Linked DNA regions of Caenorhabditis elegans. The protein of the gene in region 1 purifies or fractionates together with the protein of each later gene. This does not show direct contact. Each region holds a gene or a part of one and is shown on either strand. Other genes may lie near its edges.

Region 1 (10,257 bases):
GGCTTAGTAAGGGAAAATATAATTTAGCTTTTTTTTTCAGAAAAGTGAAAAAAATACTAGCTTGTGTGTGAAAACACTATGATATGCGTGGCTAAAAATTGACAAAAAAATGAAAGGCTATCGGAGCTCTGCTTCATTTCTGCTTCAGCGTTGAATTTCAATGACACTTGAGTGGATGTCATGAAGGCGTGAAGAAGATCTTCTGGCTGGTTATATTTGAAAAAAAATGACAAGAAAAATGTTGTAAGGGGGAATAAAAGTGAATGTGAAATGATCATTGCGTTATATAGAGCACATGTATGAGAACATATTTACCAGTCGGTAGCACTACTTTTTTAAGTTAGTCAGCCAAGCAAACTTTGAGCTAAGATCAAGTTTACTCAATCTTTTTATTTGATACTTGACGTACAGTTTGCAGTTCGAGCCTGCAAAGAGACACAGAAATAGATGATGTCGAGTAACTTTTAAAAATCAAAAAGGTTAATTTAACAAACAAAAGGCAGAACTAAGATACTGTAGAGACACTCTGTGCAAAGCTTAACAAAAAGTTGAAATCCAAAAAGAAAAGATGTTAGTCACTAGTTACAAACTAATATTTTTTTGATTTGAACTTTTGAGACGTCGAATGAATAAATTTAAATGACACTGGAGCAGTGAATTATGTATGTCTTCTATACTTCATATATTTTCTCATTTAAGGTAAAAATCACTCCGTCAATCAAAAAAAAACTCAATTGTTGTTTAAAGGAAGACTAACTGTTTGGACGATTATGAACGTATAGACCCAAATTGTGCCCAAATGAACGGAAACTGCTCAAATTTTTTTCAAAATTTTTTATGGCGGTTCAAAATTTCGAAAAAATTACACCGATTTTAGCTAAAATTTCAAATTTTGTAAATCTGTGATACGGAGAAGTTGGCAAAATTTGAGATGTTGGTTGAAATAGTGTAATTTTTCGATAATTAAAAAACACTATAACATCGTTTTGTTAAAGATTCCCATTACGAAATTGCATTTTTTGGATTGAATCGTTCCCAATAGTCCAGACCGTTAATGATCCTTTAAATTTTCAAGTTGTCTTGAAAAACATCATCAACAAGGTAGCAATTTTCACTTGCTTTCTAACAGTTAAGTCATCTTTAAAGTTGTTCCTGAAATATTTGTTTCGTTGATGCTTTAGAGATTCACAAGCTAAATGGGAATCTAACCGGCTGAAGTGTTTTCCTAATTGCGTTTATTGCCTTTCAAATCTTGTCTCGTTTTGTCGTCTTGAGTTTTATTGCCATGAAAAACAAGGCAATCTCGAACTTAAGAGATTCAGATAAACATTTCTAGTCACAAGTGGAAAAAACTAATAAGGGAGAAATCATTATTTGTGGTCATCATTTGTGGAACCTCGACAAGTACAAAACTTATATTTTATCTGTAGGTCATATTGCAATTGACTTAGTCGAGACATGTTCATTATGATATTAACTAAACTATTTTCAAATTCTTGTTTAAAAAAAACTAAAAAAGACATTTTTGACAAGCCATATCAGTTATGCAAGTTTGAGAATGAAAATTACGAATACTAATAATAAATTAAAAACACAATGTTCCCGATTTCTCCAATAGGCGTCTCAACACTGACATCATTGCTTCCATCAGCGGTATTTGGAAGACAAAGCAAATAAAAGTTTTTGGGGAAAAAGTTGGTAAACTCAGCAAACCGGGAATAAGTTTTCTCCCTTCTGAAACCCAATTTTCTTTCGCCTTATGGGTGCAATTCAAAATTGAATGAACTATGCATGTGCATCCCATTTCGGCAGACATTATACTCTATGAGAGATTAAATTGAAAATTAAAGAACGTTCTCTTAGTAAACTATTAAGAGGCGTGAGTGAGAGATGTTGGAAGATCACAGATATGATGAGATCAAAAATCTTGATTTCTACCTCTCTTTGCATATCGAGATATAAAATGGAAAGATGAGAAAGGAAGAGATGGAGCAGTATGAAATGGATAAGGAGGTTCTGTTATGTTTTTTGCTTTATAAAAAAATTGATGAGAAAAAGAGAATACACAAAAGAGGTCGCATAGAGACCGCATAAAAATTGGGGGATACATTTTGAGGCATGATTTATGATGTCGGAAATGAATTGATTCCTTTTTTTCTTCTACACGCACTTGGTCCGCAGTGAGGTTAGAAGGCTAACATAGCATTCACAAAATGAATTGCGATCTAGACTATAAAAAAACAAAACAAAATAGACAAAAACGCTCACGCTACCATTTCCTCTATTCGGGTTAAGATAGAATGGAAAAAGTTGAAAGAGTGGAGGATTGAATGAACAAGTTGGAAGGCGTAGTACTTGAAAAATGAGCAGTAGTTGTAGTAGACTAATGAATTTTTCCTTGTTGCCGCCTTATTTTGTGGTCTAGCGGATTGCACTTTATGGTGACTTTCAATTAAGAAAGATACCTTTTTTAAATGCGGGTAATAAAAGTGAGAACGGAAAAGTGCAGAAATAGCTCAAAAGTGCAAAGAAAATGTAAGAAAGTGGAACAAAGCAAACAAAAAGCTACAATCGAATCCGTTCTTCGACGGGGTAGCTACAAACCAAAGTTGGAAAAACCAACATGACGTTTTGAGAAAAATGAACATCGATCTGTCATTTTTCAATGACATTATTCCTCATTATTTTGAGTTACTACAAGTTTGTCTAATTGAGAAAGTGAGACCCTCATTCAATACTGAAGCACAGAGAAATAATTTGTTCGGCTGTTGTAAGCAATGATTAAAAACAATTATTATGTTTAGTATTGATCTGAATATTTAAAATGATTGAATCTCATGTGCAAGCAACTTTATAATTTGCCCGATGAAGTATAATGTGACTGGGAGCTAAAAATGGAAGAATAAAACATGCCAAAACAATTTTGGTAGTTTTTTGTAATAGCTTTGTTCCAAAATGCTAAACATTTTTTGTAACAAAAACTTGACTCCTTTCTGAATTTTTATACTTCGGAATAATTATTTCTTAGACTGAATAAAACAAGACTTTGAAAAAATTAAAATATTAGCTAATTACGGAGAGTTAATCCATGAAAAATGTTGGGCTACTACTGTCATAGTAGTACTATGTACAGCTACGAAAAATATTCGCATTTTTTATTGTTGTTTGCTTTTCTGAATATTAGCGCTTGTTTATGACAGATGAAAATTACATTGCTTTTGTAGTTTTGACAATTAGCTTGCGAGCTCACGATCTACCAAACATGTAAGTTTTATTCCTGCTTTTTATTTCATTATATCAGGTTCTGATAACTAGAATAATAACATTTATAACAAAACTTTTGATATGTGTATTTATTCAGGAAACAAAACATATAATACGTTTCTTCAGGAATAGTAAGTTAATGGTATACATATAGCTAATCAATAATGTTGAGTTCCCTCAATTTGAACAACTGATGGAGCGTTTGTCACGGTATCATATGCTTCACACACGGCCTCATTTACAATTGCATGACGCTTTTTCCACTCTGTTTTGAACTCATATCCTTTGAACACAATTGATTCAATATCGACTGATCCTTTGATTCCAATTCCTTGCACTGCTACGACCGGGAACCGATGATCAAACTCAACCAATAGATCACTGTTCACAGTTATCTGAAATAATATAATTCTCAGTGAAAACTGATACCAAACAAACATTATAGTATCCCTCGTGAACATAAATTCTGACATGGAAAGGATCATGACGTTTGAGAAAGTGGCTATGTCGGAGCTGAGGGCCCCATTCGCCATTTATTAGACTGTTCAAAACAATTGAATGTTCTCCATTGAACTCAAATTTAACATGGAGAACTATATTGGTACCACTGAGAAGTTCGATTGCAAAATCCCTGAAAATAAATAAACAATTATGCCAAACTACTGAAAATTCGAATACCTGTCATTCCCATGCAAAACAGCTCCATTTACTTCAATTTCAACGCCTGCTTTTAGGTTTTCCTCAATTTGATACACACTCGGAACTTTCTGAAAAATTTCAAGGCACTGAAAAACTTACAAAACAGTCTACTTACCGGGTTTTCAATAACATACATGTTGTCTCGAATAGTTGTTTCAACTTAACTTAACCATTTTTTTCTCACTTTTTATACTTTTCACCTTGTTTTTGTGCTCCCGGTTGCGAACCATGTTTACTTTTTGTCATCATCGTCGAGCTGTGTGTCAACATTATTTGAAAATGTTTGATCTTTTCTTACTCGACCTTAGTCATCGTCTCAAGAATTGCCTGTTGCCGAAATAGTAAAATAGAACTTTGTTGCTGGAATGGAACTGACTTTCGGGCATTTTTGAGATGTTTGCATTACGCAATCATAAGGTGCGAATGTCGTTTAGGGTTTTTGTATTTTGACTTTTTAGACTGTATGATAAGGAAACATTTCGAAAACGGAATAGATGCTGGCAAGGTGGTTTCAGATTTCGAAGTAAAAGTGAATTTGAAAGTTTCTAGCTGTTGAATAACGATGAACCAGTTTCTAATTACATTTTGCGTTGGTTTCGAGTATATTTTCTTTGCGTTGGTTTTGAGTATATAATTTGAAAGATTTTTCCATTGGAAAGAAATCACTTACTTTCGGTTCATATCTTGAATTGTATCTATGGACAAAATAATACTAAATTTGTGGACCCGTTGACATAAAAAACACCTTAACCTACTGAACAACACGTAGTGAACTACGTCCATGTGCAGTAAAAAAATTTCCATAAATGTTCATTTCCGAAAGGTCGAACTTTGTAATGTGAATTTTCAGCCAGAATGGGCATTGTTCTAAACGTGGAACTGTGGTAACTTTTTTTTCTGAAATGTTTTCAAGACGTCTCATTTTAAAATTTGGTTGTTTTGGGAAATTGCGAGTCTAATTTACAAGAACTCAAAGTTCGCTATTCAACACATATCTTTATTTATTCTGATTTGATGTTGCTTTAAAAAAATCCAATTGAATGTTTATTGGTGAATCACTCAGAATTAAAAGAACAATAATTCATACTGACACAATTTACAAAATCTTTAGAAGTAGGCGTTGTAGGAGTGAGTCTCTTGGAAAACTGGAGCAACATAGGTTTCAGTACCATAGGAATTGTAGCCAGCATGTCCAAAATCATGTTGAGAGTTCCAGTCAACTCCAAATTCAAATCCAGAGAAAGAGATCTCATCGATATGCGCGGCTCCTTTGAGTCCAATTGCTTGAACTGATTCAACTGGGAAACGGTGTGGGAAGTCGGCGAGGTGCTCTCCGTTCACAGAGATCTGAAATGTTATCATAATTCCAACTTTTCGATGATTGCATCGCTTACATGATAGTATCCTTCGTGAACATGGATGGAGAGGTTAAAGTGATCGTGGTGCTTGAGCGGGTTGTGGTGACGGATTTCGGCTCCCCATGCTCCGTTTGTGCAAGTATTCATTGCAACAATGTGGTCATGCTCAAAACGGAAGTTGACGTGAAGAACGATATGGGGTCCAGAGAGAAGCTCTACAGAAAAGTCTTTGTGGTGCTTGTGGGTAACATGACCACGGACATGGATTTCAGATCCAGCACGAAGTTGCTCACGGATAGCATGAGCGCTTGGAACATCCTGAAGAGTATAACTTTATTATTTCTATAACATGGTATGATAAAAGTTTTAGAAAGTTAACTGACCGGGCTATTAATGGTATGCATGGTTGATGATAGATGGAAGACGGTTTGCAGTACTGCGTTCTTTTAGATATTGTACCTCCTTTTTATACGACTCGTTTGTTTGAACACTCAACGTTGCATTAATCATTCGATAAAACCAATGTTTGACAGATAGATTATGGACGTTTGTGAGAAGTTGAGAAATCGAGAATTTGAGAAAGAGCTGTGAAATGTTGAGTTTCGGTGATAAGAGGAGTCAAATGTTATTGCTAATCAACGTGTCGTGACTTTTAGAATATTGAAAAAATAAGATGGTATTTCAAGGAATTTTAACATCGATCTTTAATTTCACTGTGTCGCAAATGAGGCGAGTAAGTAATGAGGCGCTTCGATTTATTTTATCGTTTTGCTGATTCACATTTCAAACAGTTTGACGTTGTGGAAGAACGAAGTGACTCATTTTTTGATTGGCCGGAAATAGTACCAATATGCCAATCGCAAGATTTATTATCAACAGGACAGCGTTTCCAAGTTAAATTACAGTCGTCTGAAACTGTTATTAGGTAGTTTTTTCTTTTACCAAGTTTCTTATAATTAATTGGCAAAAGAAGTTGGTACTGTAGCTTTTCAAAACTGGTTAGTCCATAAAATATTGTGAAAAGCGTAATACTTAGGAAACGAAACAATTTTAAATGGTGACTAAAGTATTGGCTAAACATCGTTTTTAAGTTTTTACGAACTACAATTTTATGACTACAAAGGATTTGCAATTTGTATTTTAATTCAATTTCTCTTTTGTTTACATGCTGATTACAGTTTTTTCGCAGAATAATTAACAATGAATATTAATGTTTGCATTATTATTTATTACAGTAAATTAAAAAAAAATTGTTTCTGTAAGCAAAATTACAAGCAAAAGCTAGTGTATTGGGAAACATAAAAACAGGGAGAATGACATAAGGAAATATAAACAAGTGGCGCTAAACATTTAAGTTTTTAACCTATTCATTTTTAAAGAGATCACATGTATTTTGCAACTTTAGATGATTAATAAAACAGTTTGCTAACGAATAAAGAAAATGTGCAAAATGAAAAGCGAATTAGCCCACAACACAATGTGAAAGAAATGGGGAACAAGTTCAGGAATGTGGAATTGCATATAGTTTTTTTTGTTGGAACCGGACTAATAACTGAATGTTGAGCATTGTTTTTGAGGCCAATCAAGAGGTGTGAAGGAATCATTCAATTTTGGTAGGCTCAATGGTAATTAACAATTTTGTGAAATGACTTATTGGCTGGTTTAGAGACTAGGTTTTGGGAGGGATAAGTATTATACAGTAAGACAAAAATGCCCACATACGTGTCTACAAAGCATGCCTACTTTGTTCGAAAGGCAACCTCTCTAGTGGAGTCACAGTAACTTTTATGGCAAAGTAGGTCTTGCCTATCTTTAAGGCACGGTTTAAGGCATGCATTGTAGACATGACGGTGGGTATTTCTGTCACCGCGGAAAAGGAAGTGATGTTATGCGGTCACTACCACTGAGGTTGGTAAAATGCCAAAATGCTGGATGGATCTGGTGCTCCGCCAACTGCAGCTGCTGCGTAAGCACTGGCCTGTGCAAACTTCACTTTTTCCACTTCAGCTTCCTGTAGTCTTTTTGATTTAGCCCTTCGATTCTGTAATTGATCTATTTAATTAATGTTTCCAAAACTTTCTTTTTCTTTATATTTTTGGCGTCAAGCTGTGAAATCAAATTCCGCAACTTCAAATTCATTGCCAAATTCCGCAATCTTTTAGATCATTTATCATATCATTAACACCTTATTGAGGGAAATTTGATAGATTCTGATAACATTGACCTTGGTTTTTTTTGTTGTGAAACTGAATACTAAGAAAACTAAAAAAAATTGACAGGTGTTAATGTGTTGGAAATAGTAAATCAAGGTTGTAGATGCAGATGGTAAAGAAGTATTCCCTCACAACGTAATGGTATTTCGTCTAATTTTATGGGCAATCACATATTTGACTGATTGAGAAACCAAAATAAAGCATGTATGAGCAGATGACTATGTGACAATTAGCTTACGTCATTGACACCATTGTGTACGTTCCCCCGAACCGAAAATTTGAAGGATAGGTTGGACCCCCTTCACATGAATTGATTCAAGAAGATGTGCAGTTGCAATATTTACCAATTACGTGATGATGAAGGTCAATTAACCGCGCCATCATCTGCCACCACTACACCACGCGCCTGATCCGAAATATATTGATACTGTAGAAACAGGAGAAAAGACAGCTGTCACAACACAACAGCTACTTGACAAGTCAGACGGAATGCAAAAGGAGAAAGTGTCAGATCTCGTTAGTCACCTTTTTTAATGAACGAGCATTTTATCTTCCTATGTGTCGGCTTTTTTTGTTTTTCTTCTTATTTCAGCCCAAAAGATAAGATCGTTTTGACAACAGGTGTGAAGAATTCCGTTCTGGAATCTATTCCATGAATCGGATCGGGTTGGAGAAGAATTACAGAGAGACGTGAAGGTCAATGTTATCGGCGGGATCACGAGAAGGCAAGGGGATACGCAACGCATTTACGAACACCATAATTATGAGGAGCGTGTCAAGTTATTGATAGAATCTATTGAGAGGCATACTGTCACTTATGATTTAATGAATTGTTCAGGACTGCATTCGAGTGCTGAGAAAAATTAATACTAACCTGGAACCAAATTTTGACTTGTGTCTCTGTCAATTGCAATGATGCGCTAAACTCTGCTCTTTCCGCAATTGACAGGTACTGTTTTGATTGAAACTTTCTTTCCAAAGAAATAAGTTGTTGAGTAGAGAATGGGGTACGTGGCTTTCTATTGTTCTTGTGTTTCCTTAACATGCACTTGGAAAGCCCTATTTGAATCTTGGCGTCATCGCTAGCTGTAAACGCCAATTAATTGAAAAGGAAACGAATCTTGGATTTTCGCTTACTTGGTGAATCTTCTCGCTGAGATGATAGCCATTGAAGTGAATGTTGCATAGACAGTGGAGACGAGGCACAGGATTCAGGTGAACTGTCGGAGCTTACTATTGGCAGCCGGTTTCTGAAACGCAATAGAATGATTGACTTCTAAAAAAAGTTGTTCACTTACCCGGTCTGAGCGAAATATATCATCACAGGATCCAATTGAGCGCCGAAGTATGGAGTCATAGGATGTAATCCTGGTATTAGCATAGGAGTTTTTGGCGTAATTGGCGTAGGTTTTGGTAAATCTTCACGACATTTTTGTTTGGGTGTTTCAAGTAGACTCTCTACACTGAATAATCCTGATTGCTTTGGTTTTTCATCTTTCGACACCATTGTTCTAATAATATCTGTAATAAAATAATCAATGTCTTTGAGAAAAGATTCATTACGACGGATTAGAGAGAATTGATCATAAAAATAATCTGCAAAGGATGAGGGAACACTGAATGCGTAACAACATATGTTACCGTAATAATAATTGAGCAAAAGAAGGGATTTAGAGAAAACGGAGCGACGGAGAGGATACTCTTGTAATTAATAGTCAAAGCTCTATGAGCCTCTATGAAACGGCGACAGGAAGTATAAGAAGGCGGGAAGTGGTGCGCATCGCTTAAGGATAGGATAAATTGCAAAGCAAACAAAAAATCAGATGGGGTTTACGGTAGGAATCATTGCTGGAAAATAAAAGGAGGAGCCCCTTATAAGCAGATGTGTTGACCAATATAACACCACGCGCTTATTGCAATCCTTAATGACATTAGCACCTTGCTTTATTTATTGCCACGTGACATCGATCTCCGTTTATAGCTTTATCCAATATCGTCATTAGCTGATTCAGATGGGATGAGAGGGAGGTGTCAAAGAGGCGCCAAAAAGCAAAAACAATGAAAGAAGTGGCAACAACACCAAAATAATCAACGTCTCATCAACTCAAACGGGGGAAATTGGAACTAAATGAAGTTGGTAGTGGTGAGGAAGGAGAATTGTTGGAATTGTTGGAATTCGAGCCAACAAAACATAATTGTTTAGAGTTGTGAGGTTGGCTTTCTCCTTTTGAAACTTGTCTGTTACCACCAACCCACAAGAAAGTAATTATGTCATTATGTGATGAGAGCCAAAACGGGGCGTAGAGAGTTTTACGACGCAACAATTATCACAAATATTTTTGAGTCCCTCATTTTCCACACTCTTGAAATTACACTTTTATTGGGTACGTCCGGCTCATTAGCTTATTAACTTATTACTAACTGGCAAGTTCGAGAACAGGAAATGATGCTCAAGCCATAAAACAAAAAGAGCCATTGTGAAAACTGGCCGCTCTAGAAGTTTACCATCGTCTGGAAAGCATAGAAAAGTAGTATCCCCAATTAGAGCACAGAAATCAAAAGTGAAAAGAAAGTGTGCAATAGGGGTGCTATTCTTTTTGTGACTCCGCCTCTCAGATTGTTGGCCCTCGTCCGAAAACAATTAACTACCGTATGCCTCCTCCCGTCACACACACAGAAGACTCAGCCTCCCACCGCTCGGGGTGGCCACGAATAAGACAGAG
Region 2 (11,155 bases), 3.1 Mb from region 1:
TTTGACTAATTTAAAAATGTAATACAAAGTAATGGCCGGGTCTCAGTTTTTATACTGTTTAGTTTGAAGTCCATAAAATTGTTTGTGTTGTCAAACTTTTGCCACCCACAGAAATAGCTTCCTTGTTATTTTCTTTGCTGAATTTGATTGTTATAAATCTTCCTTTGCACGTATTATTTCACGTCAACTGTTTCATGGGCCACCAAATCGTATGATTTACAGTCACAAAAAATTTCAAAAAATAATAAATTTATTTACAGACAAGCAAAATTAGGTTAGAAAATCACAAATTATTTACGGTTAACTTTCAAGTTTCCGTAAATCTTATGGCATGCCACGTAGCTTTGTTGGTTTTTGATAATTTGATTGAATGGAAGAGACCAGTAGACTTCAGCCGGAAGTTGAGTGTCCTGTAACATTTTTGAAATACTCTTTTAAAAAGAGAAAAATTCAGCTTGTGATTTACCTTGAAAAAACTGTACTTGGTTCTACGGTATACACCCTCGATTTTGATTTGAGTCGCCATTTGTTTGCTGACGTCAGAGTCAAACACGTAGACTGTAGCAAAGATCCCCATAGCACGAACAGAGTTTCCGTCCTGAAATTTCCAGCCAGTTTTTGCTTTTTTGACCTTTAGACTTACATCACCCTGAATCAGCTGCAAGAATGACTCCTTACTAAGCCCTTGTGAGCTGATGACATCATCAATGTCTGGAAGACAGAAAGCAAGCTTCAAGTTGTCATAGCTGCCTTTTTTCAATCCGTCAGCGCAGCTGATTGGTTGACCATCGAGGAGCAGCTGTGCTCGAACTCCTAATTTGTCACCGAATGTTTCACATGCATTGCAGTACAGGCTGAAAAAAAGATAAATCAATATTGTATGACAACATTAATTAATAGCAACAAACCAAGACCCAAATCCTCCACATCCGTTTTCAGGTTGTCGAACACATTTCTCTGGGACAGTATTTTTTTTGGCAGTGTTCTTCAGCTCAAGATAAATGGAGAAATCTCCGCCAAAGTCCTGAAATAGAGAGTTTCAATTTATTTTTTTATGTAGCTTTATTGTTCATTCAAAGTATATACTTAGAGAGTAATAAGAAGTTGTGATGAATTCTTTATTTCTCAGGGTAAGATAATTTTTAAACTTTTGATACGCTACACAAATACTGAAAAAAAACATTAAGTTTTGAATGATATTGATTTAAAATGTTGTCACGTTGTCACGTTGGCATAAAAAAATTCAATTTGCCCAATAATAATTCAGTAAGGTATAATTTAGTGATTTTTAAATTGTACAGACTACATTTAAAGATACAGATTGTGTTGATGTTCTTAAAAACACGGTCTTAAAGGCGGACTAACGGTTCGGACGATTTTGAACGTATAAATCCGAATTGGGCTGGAATGAATAAATTTTGAAAAAAAATACACTGATTTTCGCTAAAATCTCAATTTTCGGCCACTTTTCCGTGTCGCAGCGGTCCGAAGTTGTCTTTTTTGGAATTATCCTCCTGCATCTTTTGGTAATTTTTTATCATCACATTTCATTGATTTAAACCCGATAGGTAACCAAAAATCATCAAAATTGGTTACCTGTCGGCTTTAAATGTGCCTTAATCAATGAAATTGGATGAGATAAACTACCAAAATATGCAATAAAGGGCGATGATTCCAAAAAAGTCAACTACGTCCCCCGCTGCGACACGGAAAAGTTGCCAAAAATCGAGATTTTAGCTAAAATCAGTGTATTTTTTTTTCAAAATTTTGAACCGCCATAAAAAAATTTTGAAAAATTTATCAGAAGTTTCCTTACGAAACTCGTTTATTTGAGCTCATTTTGGGTTTGAACGTTCAAAATCATCCAAACCGTTAGTCCTCCTTCAAGACACGGAATATTAACAAAACAAAAAGCACAATATTTTACCTCTAGAACTTCTACTTGGCCTCCGATAGTAAAACAGTTTGGCTTATCGGCTTGTGGTTCAAGTTTCGGGCCTCTCCTATCATTTCCAGACTCGAATTCTAACTTCTTTGTCCATTTACCACCTGAAAACCAAATAAGCTTTGGTTTAAAATCTCGTAAACCTACTTTTGCATGGTTGATGTTTGATGAGTTCAAGAGTTACACTCAGATCTTTTCCCAACTCAACGTTTTCCAACGCGTTGGAAATGGAAACGAAAAGACACGATGAAGCTAAGAAAACGACCAACATCTGCGACTGAAACCGATGCGCAAATGAAGGTGTCATGGCTTATGAAGTAAGCGACGAGGACGTGCCCTTCTTTCACACCCCTTTTCAGCTGGATTTTAGAATAGTTTACAGTGACGGTGGGGGTGAAAGGGGAATATAGATATGAATTGTACAAATGTGTAATAAAAGTCTGACAGCCATCAAAACCACTTTTCTCGTTTTTTCTTTCTTTTTCGTGTTACTTTTACCTCAATGTGAAATGATTGTCGGATGGCGTTTCGAGGTCATGAAGGTTATGAGATTCTGAAAAGATGAAGAGATTAAAAGAAAAGGAAAGGGGAAAAAAGTAAAAAAAAAGGAAAATAATGAATCAAAAGCCTTATGTCCTTCAACTAGTAGTGAGAACAAATGCAATAAAGTTTTACAGATGTGTTACATAAATATCACTTTATGATCTCTAACCAACAACATATATAGTTCCAGTTTTCCTTACTATTAGTAACTTTGCAAGATTTTTCTGTAGAATTCGTGTACTGTTGTATACACAAGAATAAAAATTCTAGAAGTAAAGGGTATACAGAATACTTTGAACAAAATCCCAGAAACATTTTGAGGCTAGCAAAATATTGAGGTTGTATTGAATAAAATGCATATTGAAGAAATGTAAAAAAACATACTCAAAAGGATACCAGACAAAACTGTTGTTTTTTACACAACGAGTCTTTGAGCACAGTATCACCATAAAGATTGACTGTTATTTATTAAATGTCAAGATCAATTTGCTTATCTAATTCATAATTTTTATTGTGTTTATTTCATAATTCACAAAAAATGAACCCGCATAAACGAAATGAATAAACATGAAGTTATCATCGTTGTTCATCCAAATATATTTTCTTATTTCTTCTTGGCTTGAATGTCGCTCAAGCTAATGGTTCCGTAAAGTTTGTGACATCCAACGAAAACTGACTGCTTTTTGATAATTTGATTGAATGGCAGATTCCAATAAGTTTGAGAGTCAACTGGCTCATCAGCGCCAAGTTTGCGAAGTTCACGGATGCGAGATTCTAGTTTTCGTTGAGAGCTGAAATTATTTCATTTTTCTATTTGTTTAAAAATTTTCTACTCGTGAAAAATAGTGTTATTTTTCATATAGCTGTAATGTATGTGACATATATGTCTCGAATATAGTGAATGGTTGTTAGATGGTATATGAAACTGTAAATCTGGCTAAAACCTATTTAATTTTCAGAACTTACACTAGAAGAGGTTTAATATCCTTGTCGAACAAATAAACGGTCACAAATAGACTAAGCTTTGGTGGACCATTTCCTTCCTGAAACACACTTTTTCTTTCAATAATTATTTTCATTTTGTCAAACCTGAGTAGTAGCAGCTAAAATGTGATCTAACGCGTCTTCTGAAATTCCCTGCCATTCCAACAATGCAGCTAATTTCGGAAGGCAGAAACGGAGTTCAACATTATCATATTCTCCTTTCTAAAAATAGTGTTATTGACTGCATCGTAAATTTTTTTTAACGATGTTGCTCACTTTTAATGGCTCACATCCTGCTGGTTTGCCGTTCACAACAAGTTGAGCTCCGAGAATTTTCGTGAGAGAGTCCAAAGAATCACATGGCCGGCAGTAGAGACTGAAACAGCAGTGTTTACGTCATTTTTTGGAAACAACAAAACAACAAATTTTCAAGTTCGAAAATTTAAATTTCGTAATCATCGAAATACAACTAAATCTTGTTGTTTGAAGTTATAACATAACGACAAATTATGATAGCGTAGTACGTGGAGAGATGGCCGAGCGGTCTAAGGCGCTGGTTTAAGGCACCAGTCCCTTCGGGGGCGTGGGTTCGAATCCCACTCTCTTCAGTTCTTTTTTTTTAATTTATTTTGCAGGTTAAACACTTATGTATGAAATTGTTATAGTTATACTTTTTGTTTTAAGAGTGACCTCTAACTTAAAACTTTTAGGTACTTCACAGCTGTTCATCTATCATTAACTGCTCAAAAGGCTTTTTTTTCATTTCCTAATGTTTTTTCTAGCTCTAGAATCTTGATGATTTCCCTAATATTTCTGTCAATAACTCATTACCATGATCCAACACCTCCACAACCAGTGTCCGGATTGGCATCCCTGCACACTTCCGGTGGTCTTTGAGTGTCACCAGTGGTCGACACGGACAAGTAGATCAACAACTCGTCGCTCACATCCTCATGAATTTTCACTTTTCCCTAAAGAAAATGAATTATTATTATTATTGTAATAACGTCAATCATCAAGCATTGTTATTGTTTTTCAAAAATCAAAATAAAACACTCTTGGGGGCTAACTCACACTAATTGCATAGCACCCTTTCTGTTCAGTTGACTTGAGTAGCGCTCCACTATCCGAGTGGCCACCCTGGAACTCGATTTTGCGGTTCCAGTGAGAACCTGTAACACGTAAAGTATTAAAAAAGTGACAACGATAGTTTAATAATTACTTTTTCTCCATGCACAACTTTGATGTCTATGAAGGTTTAAGTTCAGATACTGAGTCGATGCAAATCCAAACAAAATTGCCAGTAATATCAGGCAGTTTGTAATCATGACAAATCTGTAAGATACCGTTTATGTAAAAATTTACAGAAAGTTACAAGAACAGTATAGAAAAAGTCACAGAAGTCACTGAATTCAAATAGTTCCATCATCGAAACATCTTCATATCTAATATTTGAATCAATCTTAGTTTAGCATTTAATGCAAATGCGGCAAGAAAGTAGCTGTGAAAAAGAAAAATCGTCAAATGGGGCAAAACGATACGAATGGAAGGAACCTGTTACGTAAGCTTAGAGATCTGTCTAAGCATGAAAAAAGAGAATCGGGTATGATATGCATTGTTGAAGGACCTAGACTTTCAATCAAAACGGGACTATGGCAGAGACCACAAGGAAAAATAAACTGAAATAAGGAAGCGAAATGTTCTACGATGACTGACCAGGAGAACATTGAAGATTCCAATGGTCTTTGATTTAGTGTTCACCTCGTCGTCGTCCGCCCTAATTTTTCAACTTGTCATAAAATTTGATTCCTCTGGAATTTCACAAAAGAAAACTAGTTACGAGAACAAGAACTAATGTGGAACTTTTAATGGTGTGTACTAGGTGTGTTTGAGAAGGGAAATATTTGTGACGCTTTACAAAATCAGTGTTCATGTGACTATCTTTTCAAATCGACTTCAAAATGTTGTTTGTAAGAATGGAGACCTAAATGAATGATGGAGTTTGTGGGCAAAAAATCTCAAAAACTACAGAAACAATGTCAGAAATAACGCAACAGTTATTTGTAATTTTATAATACTTCGGTTCTCAACTATAGAATATTTGGGAAACTTAGTGGAAAAATAATACCGCCGGCATATAGAATAACTCTTAAACTACTTTGGACGAATTAATGTTTTAACAGTGGTCGCAAGAGCATTCGAGCTAATGAAGTTTGGCAAACAAAGATTTTTTTGTGGACTACAAATTATGATAGGCATAATACCATTAAGCCCAATAGTGGCTGGGTGAACCTAGGGGGTGAGGCCGGACTTGAACTTATGACCTCCAGATTTCTAGCGGTCACCACTACCGACTGAGCTATCCGCCCCCCGAAATACAATTTTGTAAAGCAAAATTAAAAAATATATCTTTTCATTTTTTCACGTATCAATCATGTTTGCGCAATTTAAAAAATGAACTTTAATGAAAAAAAATCATAAACTTATATAATCTTGCAAAAACCCCTTGATAAGAAAAATGAGTCATTGAACGATTAAAACATAAATAAAAATTTCCACTAGCTTTAACCAAAAGTCCACACTTTTTCATCTTGCGAATACACAGTTTTCACACCCGTCTTTATAATCATTTTATACACTTTCTGTAATGCTGGCAATTCGCTTGAGTGCACTTGAATAGCAAAGGTTCACGCTTGGACAGAAAAGTGTGACGAAAGATATTGTGGAAGGGCAAATGAATGGTGGGCCGACACGCAGGGCAAAAAACGAATAATACTAAGAAATTGTGGAAGACGATAAAGACTGCGAATTGGTCGGAAACGAGAATTTGCCAAGAATCCCCTCATCTCCTTTCACCAACTAACCGCGGATAATAGATAATAGGTGTGAATCATTATTATTCGATCAGGAAACGATGCGCTATGCAAAGTGTTAGCTGGTCTGCTTGCGTTACATTCAGGTATACAATTTTTGCAGGAAATCACGCACATACACATCTGAATGTCACTTTATGTACAGTGTTTTAGACAAAACCAGTTTTAATACTGCGCTTGTGATAGTTGTACCAAATTCTGAATTTGTGAATGGCCAGGTATACATACTAGAGCTTAAAACTGGACTAAATTTTATTTGATCAAAACTGATTAGCAAAATTTTATTACAAATTAAAAGGTTTATTTCACGGTTCATTTAAAGGCGTAGAAATAAATTTGGGCACACATCAACCTACTGAACATGCATTTTAATCAATGGAATAATTGTGCACTAAAATAGTTTTATGACAAAATAACCTTGACAATATTTTAGAAAACTCCAAGATGTAACAAGTGTTAAGTTTAAGGAAGTCCAATGCAAAACCTTATATAAAGGATTAGGCACGTCTTGCAATTATAAAAAAGTATCCCACTGTTGAGCATCTCTTCTGACATTTCAAAAAAAAATTTAACAAAAAAAGGTGTAACCAGACTTGAATTTCCTTTATTAGTAACTGCTCGATTATAAATTTAAATAATCGGGACGTGGTTGAAACGCTTTAATTTTTTAAGCTATACTCGGTTGACAGAAAATAGACTGTTTGTATGATGGAAACTTTGTATCACAGCTCTAACAAAACAGCTTTATTTCACCAAAAGTACAAGGACTGGAGGAAAGAAAAATTGTATCAACTATCTCATTTCTGCACCTTCAACGCCCCCAAAGCCGGCTGCTGAGTTGAAGTTTTGGCCGGATTCCTGCTTTCGCCACCCGCTCCATTTTCAGATTGTCATCAGAAAACACTTCCTCATTTTCAGTCTCATGTTGATTCAACGACTGTCTTGAAGTCTTGGCCAATATTGTGGTCTGCAATCTGATTCGATGAAATCTTGGAAACAAGAATCATAAGTGAACAGGAAGGAGTGGATTCCAAGTAATTTGTTTACCGTTTCGAATTTATTCTCATCTTTGATCGTTTTCTCGGATGATTCCACCGGCCACATCACCATGAAATCTTCAGGAATCAGAGGGATGTCCTGAATTAAATTAAATTGAAATAAATGAAATGAGTCAGTGGTTTATTGAAAACACACTACATTTGATTGCACCTGCTAACTATAAGTTTTAAAATTATTTAGGGATGACAAATTTCCTCGTGATTCTATCTTTGCCAAAAATTAACAATTCCACCTGCATTAAACTCGTGGCCAAAACTTCAAAACATTAGGATTTCTCAAGTGTATCAATAGAATAGTGTTGTTCCAAAAAAAAAAACGCTTTATGTAAATTCAAAAAAAACACAGAAGTGAAGAAGTAAAATTTCCTTGACTCACCCTTTCAAAATTCCTCAGCCCTGAAGCATGTGCCCGTTTGCCCCAAAGAATACTGGACCTGCGGAGCTCCCCGTTTATAGCTCGTTTGTGCGTGATGAACCTCTGAATTTAGATTTTAAAATAAAAAATCTGACATCCATGAAAGCTTACATCAAAATGCGCCATGTCGTCACCACCCCCAATGCCTCCAAACTTCCTCATTTTCCAATCCTAAACATTTTGCGAATAATTCATAAGTTTGACTATTTTTGGTGTCCCTACCTGATTGGCCATGGTGACCCCAGCGAAGAAGAAAGCAATCAGAATAAAGAAGGTGTACTGCATGTCGTCCTGTGAAGTACAAGTATAATTCTCAGAGATTAATTTTTTTGGGAATGGAATTAAGAAAAAGTGTGAGCCGGGTGATTTTAACTGGCAGTTAATGAAACCGATTTTAGCGCAGGAGCAATTTGATTTTGTCTTCACCTGTTTTGTTAAAACAAGGGGCGGAGCTTTGAATGCAGAAAGAGAGAGAAGGTTAATTCGGAAATGAAGAATCTTGATAGACTACCCGGAATTTTAAAAACATCAGTATAAATTAAAACTGAGTGTGAAAAATAAAGCGAAGGAAAAGGCAAAAGACAAAAAAAAAGCAAAATATAAGTGTGACCACTCATCGAAAATTAGAGGATACCTAGGTTCGGAAAAAAATGACGTGCTCCTCACTGGCTTGCAAATCATACTAATCATGTTTTCCAGGTGAATTATTTATGAGTGGGGAGACAAGACTCTCCCCCCCCCCCCCCCCGCCCAAATGGTTTAGTACTGGTTCCTAATTGCTCCTTGGAAAAACGAAACGACTTTATTATCGTAGTTGGAGCAAGAAGTCTTCAAAGGATCTTTGGAAATTTGATGACAATTGGTAGTATACAGAGGGAAAACAGAACAAGGGACAAAGATAGATAGGGGAGGAGGAATTAGAGAGAGAGAGCAAAAAACTTTTAAACATTTTTAGATAATCAACTTGGTTTGCTGTTTTCATTAACATTCTACGAGGAGATCAGAAACGTGATGATTTGGGAGAATAAAATGAGTATAAGAATGTACTCGCGGGCTGGAAAACGTAAGTTCGGAAAACAACTAAAACCAGGAGTTTTTCCACAAAAGAGTTAAAAAATGCTCTTGACCTATAGCATGCAACATATCATCGTGTTATTTTTGAATTGCAGATGCTAGTTGATAGTCAGTCTCTATATACAGGTCTTTCGATGTTTCTAAGATGATTATGGAATATTATTCGTGTACTTGTGAAAAAAGGCAGCAGTGGCAAAACAATTATTTACAGAAGTCTGAATATTTATTTTAATCGCGAATTATTAAGAGGCGTGAAAAAAAAGTTACTAAAGTGTTGATGTCTTCGTAACGGTATTTGCAATTTGTGAAACATATCTCAAAGATTATTGGTAGCGATAAGAATTTTACGATTGCAAAAACTCGAATCATAATAGTTATTTGGCAAACAATTTGCATTTCTCATAGCTCAAATGAAATATTTTAATGATAATTTGTGAAATCCTGGAAAAAATTATGACTGGTACTACAAAACAGCTAAATATTTTATAGCAAAAATTTCAAAAGAATGAATAAGCTAAGCTCTTCCAAAAAAGGAAAGAAGGCGGAGACAAGTATCACCTGGGTGAACAAGGATGATGGACAATCAAAAATTATCAAGCAAAGAAAAAGAGAAAACTAAATTCAAAACGTACAGTGAAAAAATGAGATAGCCGGAAATAAAAAAACAATACATTTTATAGTGATTTGAAGTTGCATCTGCGAAATCTACTTTGGGAACTAGTGGAATTAGAAATGACGAGAAGGAAATTCTCCGACTAAAAATGTTTTCCTTGTTAAATGTCGTCAATTTGACCTGAAAGGACCTGCCAATTCGGGAGTAATTAGCGCATTCGTCTGGAAAACAAGGAACCCACTCTTTACAAAACACTACCGCACATCACTTGGCAAAGTGACGTTGCAATACGGATTTTTCTCGGGTTTCAGACAGAACCACCTCTGGCAGATGGAAAAACCTAGCAAAATCGGAGTTTTTGTTCTGTCGCGGTATTGAAACGATCAAAGCACATGGAGGTTAATACGGATTTCTTTAGACAATTATTAGGAATCGGCATCAAACATACCCATATGTTTATTTTGTTTTTACTATTGGAGTTTGGTTATCAGTTTTCCTACGTAAACCTTTTTAAAATAGGATTAAACTCGGTGGAAATCTGCAAAAATAGATTTCTTGATCGGATCAACTCTAGTTGTTCGGAAAAACAAATACTTTGAAAAATGGTCACTCATTGTCATGAATATTTTAGGATGTTGCCGTGAAAGTAAATTGTTGACCATTAGAAAAATTATATTTCTACTGTCAATAGTTCTATGACGCGAATGACTATGCAATGAGGAAAATTTTACAAACAAGTTCTGCGCTTTCATGATATCATTTGCGAGCAAAATTCTAATGTGAGAAAACGTTGTTTTCTAGTATACAATATCAAAATCCAAAATCTGGAAGCAAAATTGAAGACAAACAGGAGAATAGCTTTGTATTTTGCTCAATTTTCCAAATAAAAAAGCAAAGATCTGATTTCTTAAAACTAGAAAAGTGATGATGTTCCACAATTTGATCTGAATCTACTATTATAAATATTTTAAGTTTGTATCTAAGTGTAATAAACTTTAACGTATTCAAAGAAGTGTAGGTTGAGTTAAATTAGCAAGATGACACATCAAAGTTCTTTGAAAGGTCACTTTTCTGCAAGGAATTTGAATGATGCCATTTTATTTGAAGACGGAAAGCTTTTGGATTCCAGTTTACTATTTAAAAAAATCTAACAATACCAAGTTTCAAGTAAAAAAGATTATCTTCCGAATTTCTAGACAATACGTGAGACGATGATGTGAGCTCTCGGGGTTTTGGAAATTTTGAACTTCAAGTTTAACTTCAAAGTTTTTACAAATTCATGTAGTGCAACAAACAAGATAATCGGAAATCAGTCACAGTGTAGACGTAGTTGTCCTAACAAGAGTTTGCAGGTGTTTGTTATAAGGAAGTTTGTAGACCTTGATCGGCATAGAACTTGACTGCATTTTAGGATAACCACTTGTTAAATTGGTTTTACAAATGTAATTTGCACAAGTCGATTTGGAAAATGGAGATCAAAAATATTAATGGTCAATATGTTCTATGAATTATGTGAAAGGAGTCCAATAATGTGTTGTGAACTTCAGCAAAACGTACTTTTTTCTGAAAATATTTTGGTAGTGTTTTATAACATTTCGAAAGTCTATGCATAAGTTATTTCAAGACATAAGTGCTTGATGACTGGAGACG

What was found.
Region 2: the proteins of lec-8 (region 1) and gmap-2 fractionate together in Caenorhabditis elegans (co-fractionation; one large-scale study listed by BioGRID). This does not show direct contact.

What each region holds. Positions count from the first base shown.
Region 1 is NC_003284.9:9,846,075-9,856,331, reverse strand, and holds lec-8 (putative galaptin lec-8), read right to left. Parts: upstream 5,762-10,257; 5' UTR 5,726-5,761; coding exon 5,705-5,725; intron 5,640-5,704; coding exon 5,358-5,639; intron 5,311-5,357; coding exon 5,071-5,310; 3' UTR 4,996-5,070; downstream 1-4,995. Other genes in the region: putative galaptin lec-7, read right to left, coding at 3,423-3,659, 3,703-3,895, 3,943-4,031, 4,079-4,099; Homeobox protein vab-15, read right to left, coding at 7,219-7,362, 8,409-8,620, 8,672-8,784, 8,833-9,041.
Region 2 is NC_003284.9:12,938,460-12,949,614, forward strand, and holds gmap-2 (GM2 Activator Protein family member), read right to left. Parts: upstream 4,808-11,155; 5' UTR 4,801-4,807; coding exon 4,695-4,800; intron 4,645-4,694; coding exon 4,547-4,644; intron 4,444-4,546; coding exon 4,304-4,443; intron 4,081-4,303; exon of another isoform or gene 3,999-4,080; intron 3,849-3,998; coding exon 3,749-3,848; intron 3,695-3,748; coding exon 3,578-3,694; intron 3,532-3,577; coding exon 3,455-3,531; intron 3,280-3,454; coding exon 3,093-3,279; 3' UTR 2,983-3,092; downstream 1-2,982. Other genes in the region: gmap-3 (GM2 Activator Protein family member), read right to left, coding at 291-410, 467-598, 644-854, 909-1,024, 1,928-2,049, 2,093-2,252; nssp-88 (Neuropeptide-Like Protein), read right to left, coding at 7,157-7,312, 7,393-7,482, 7,780-7,881, 7,930-7,989, 8,041-8,103.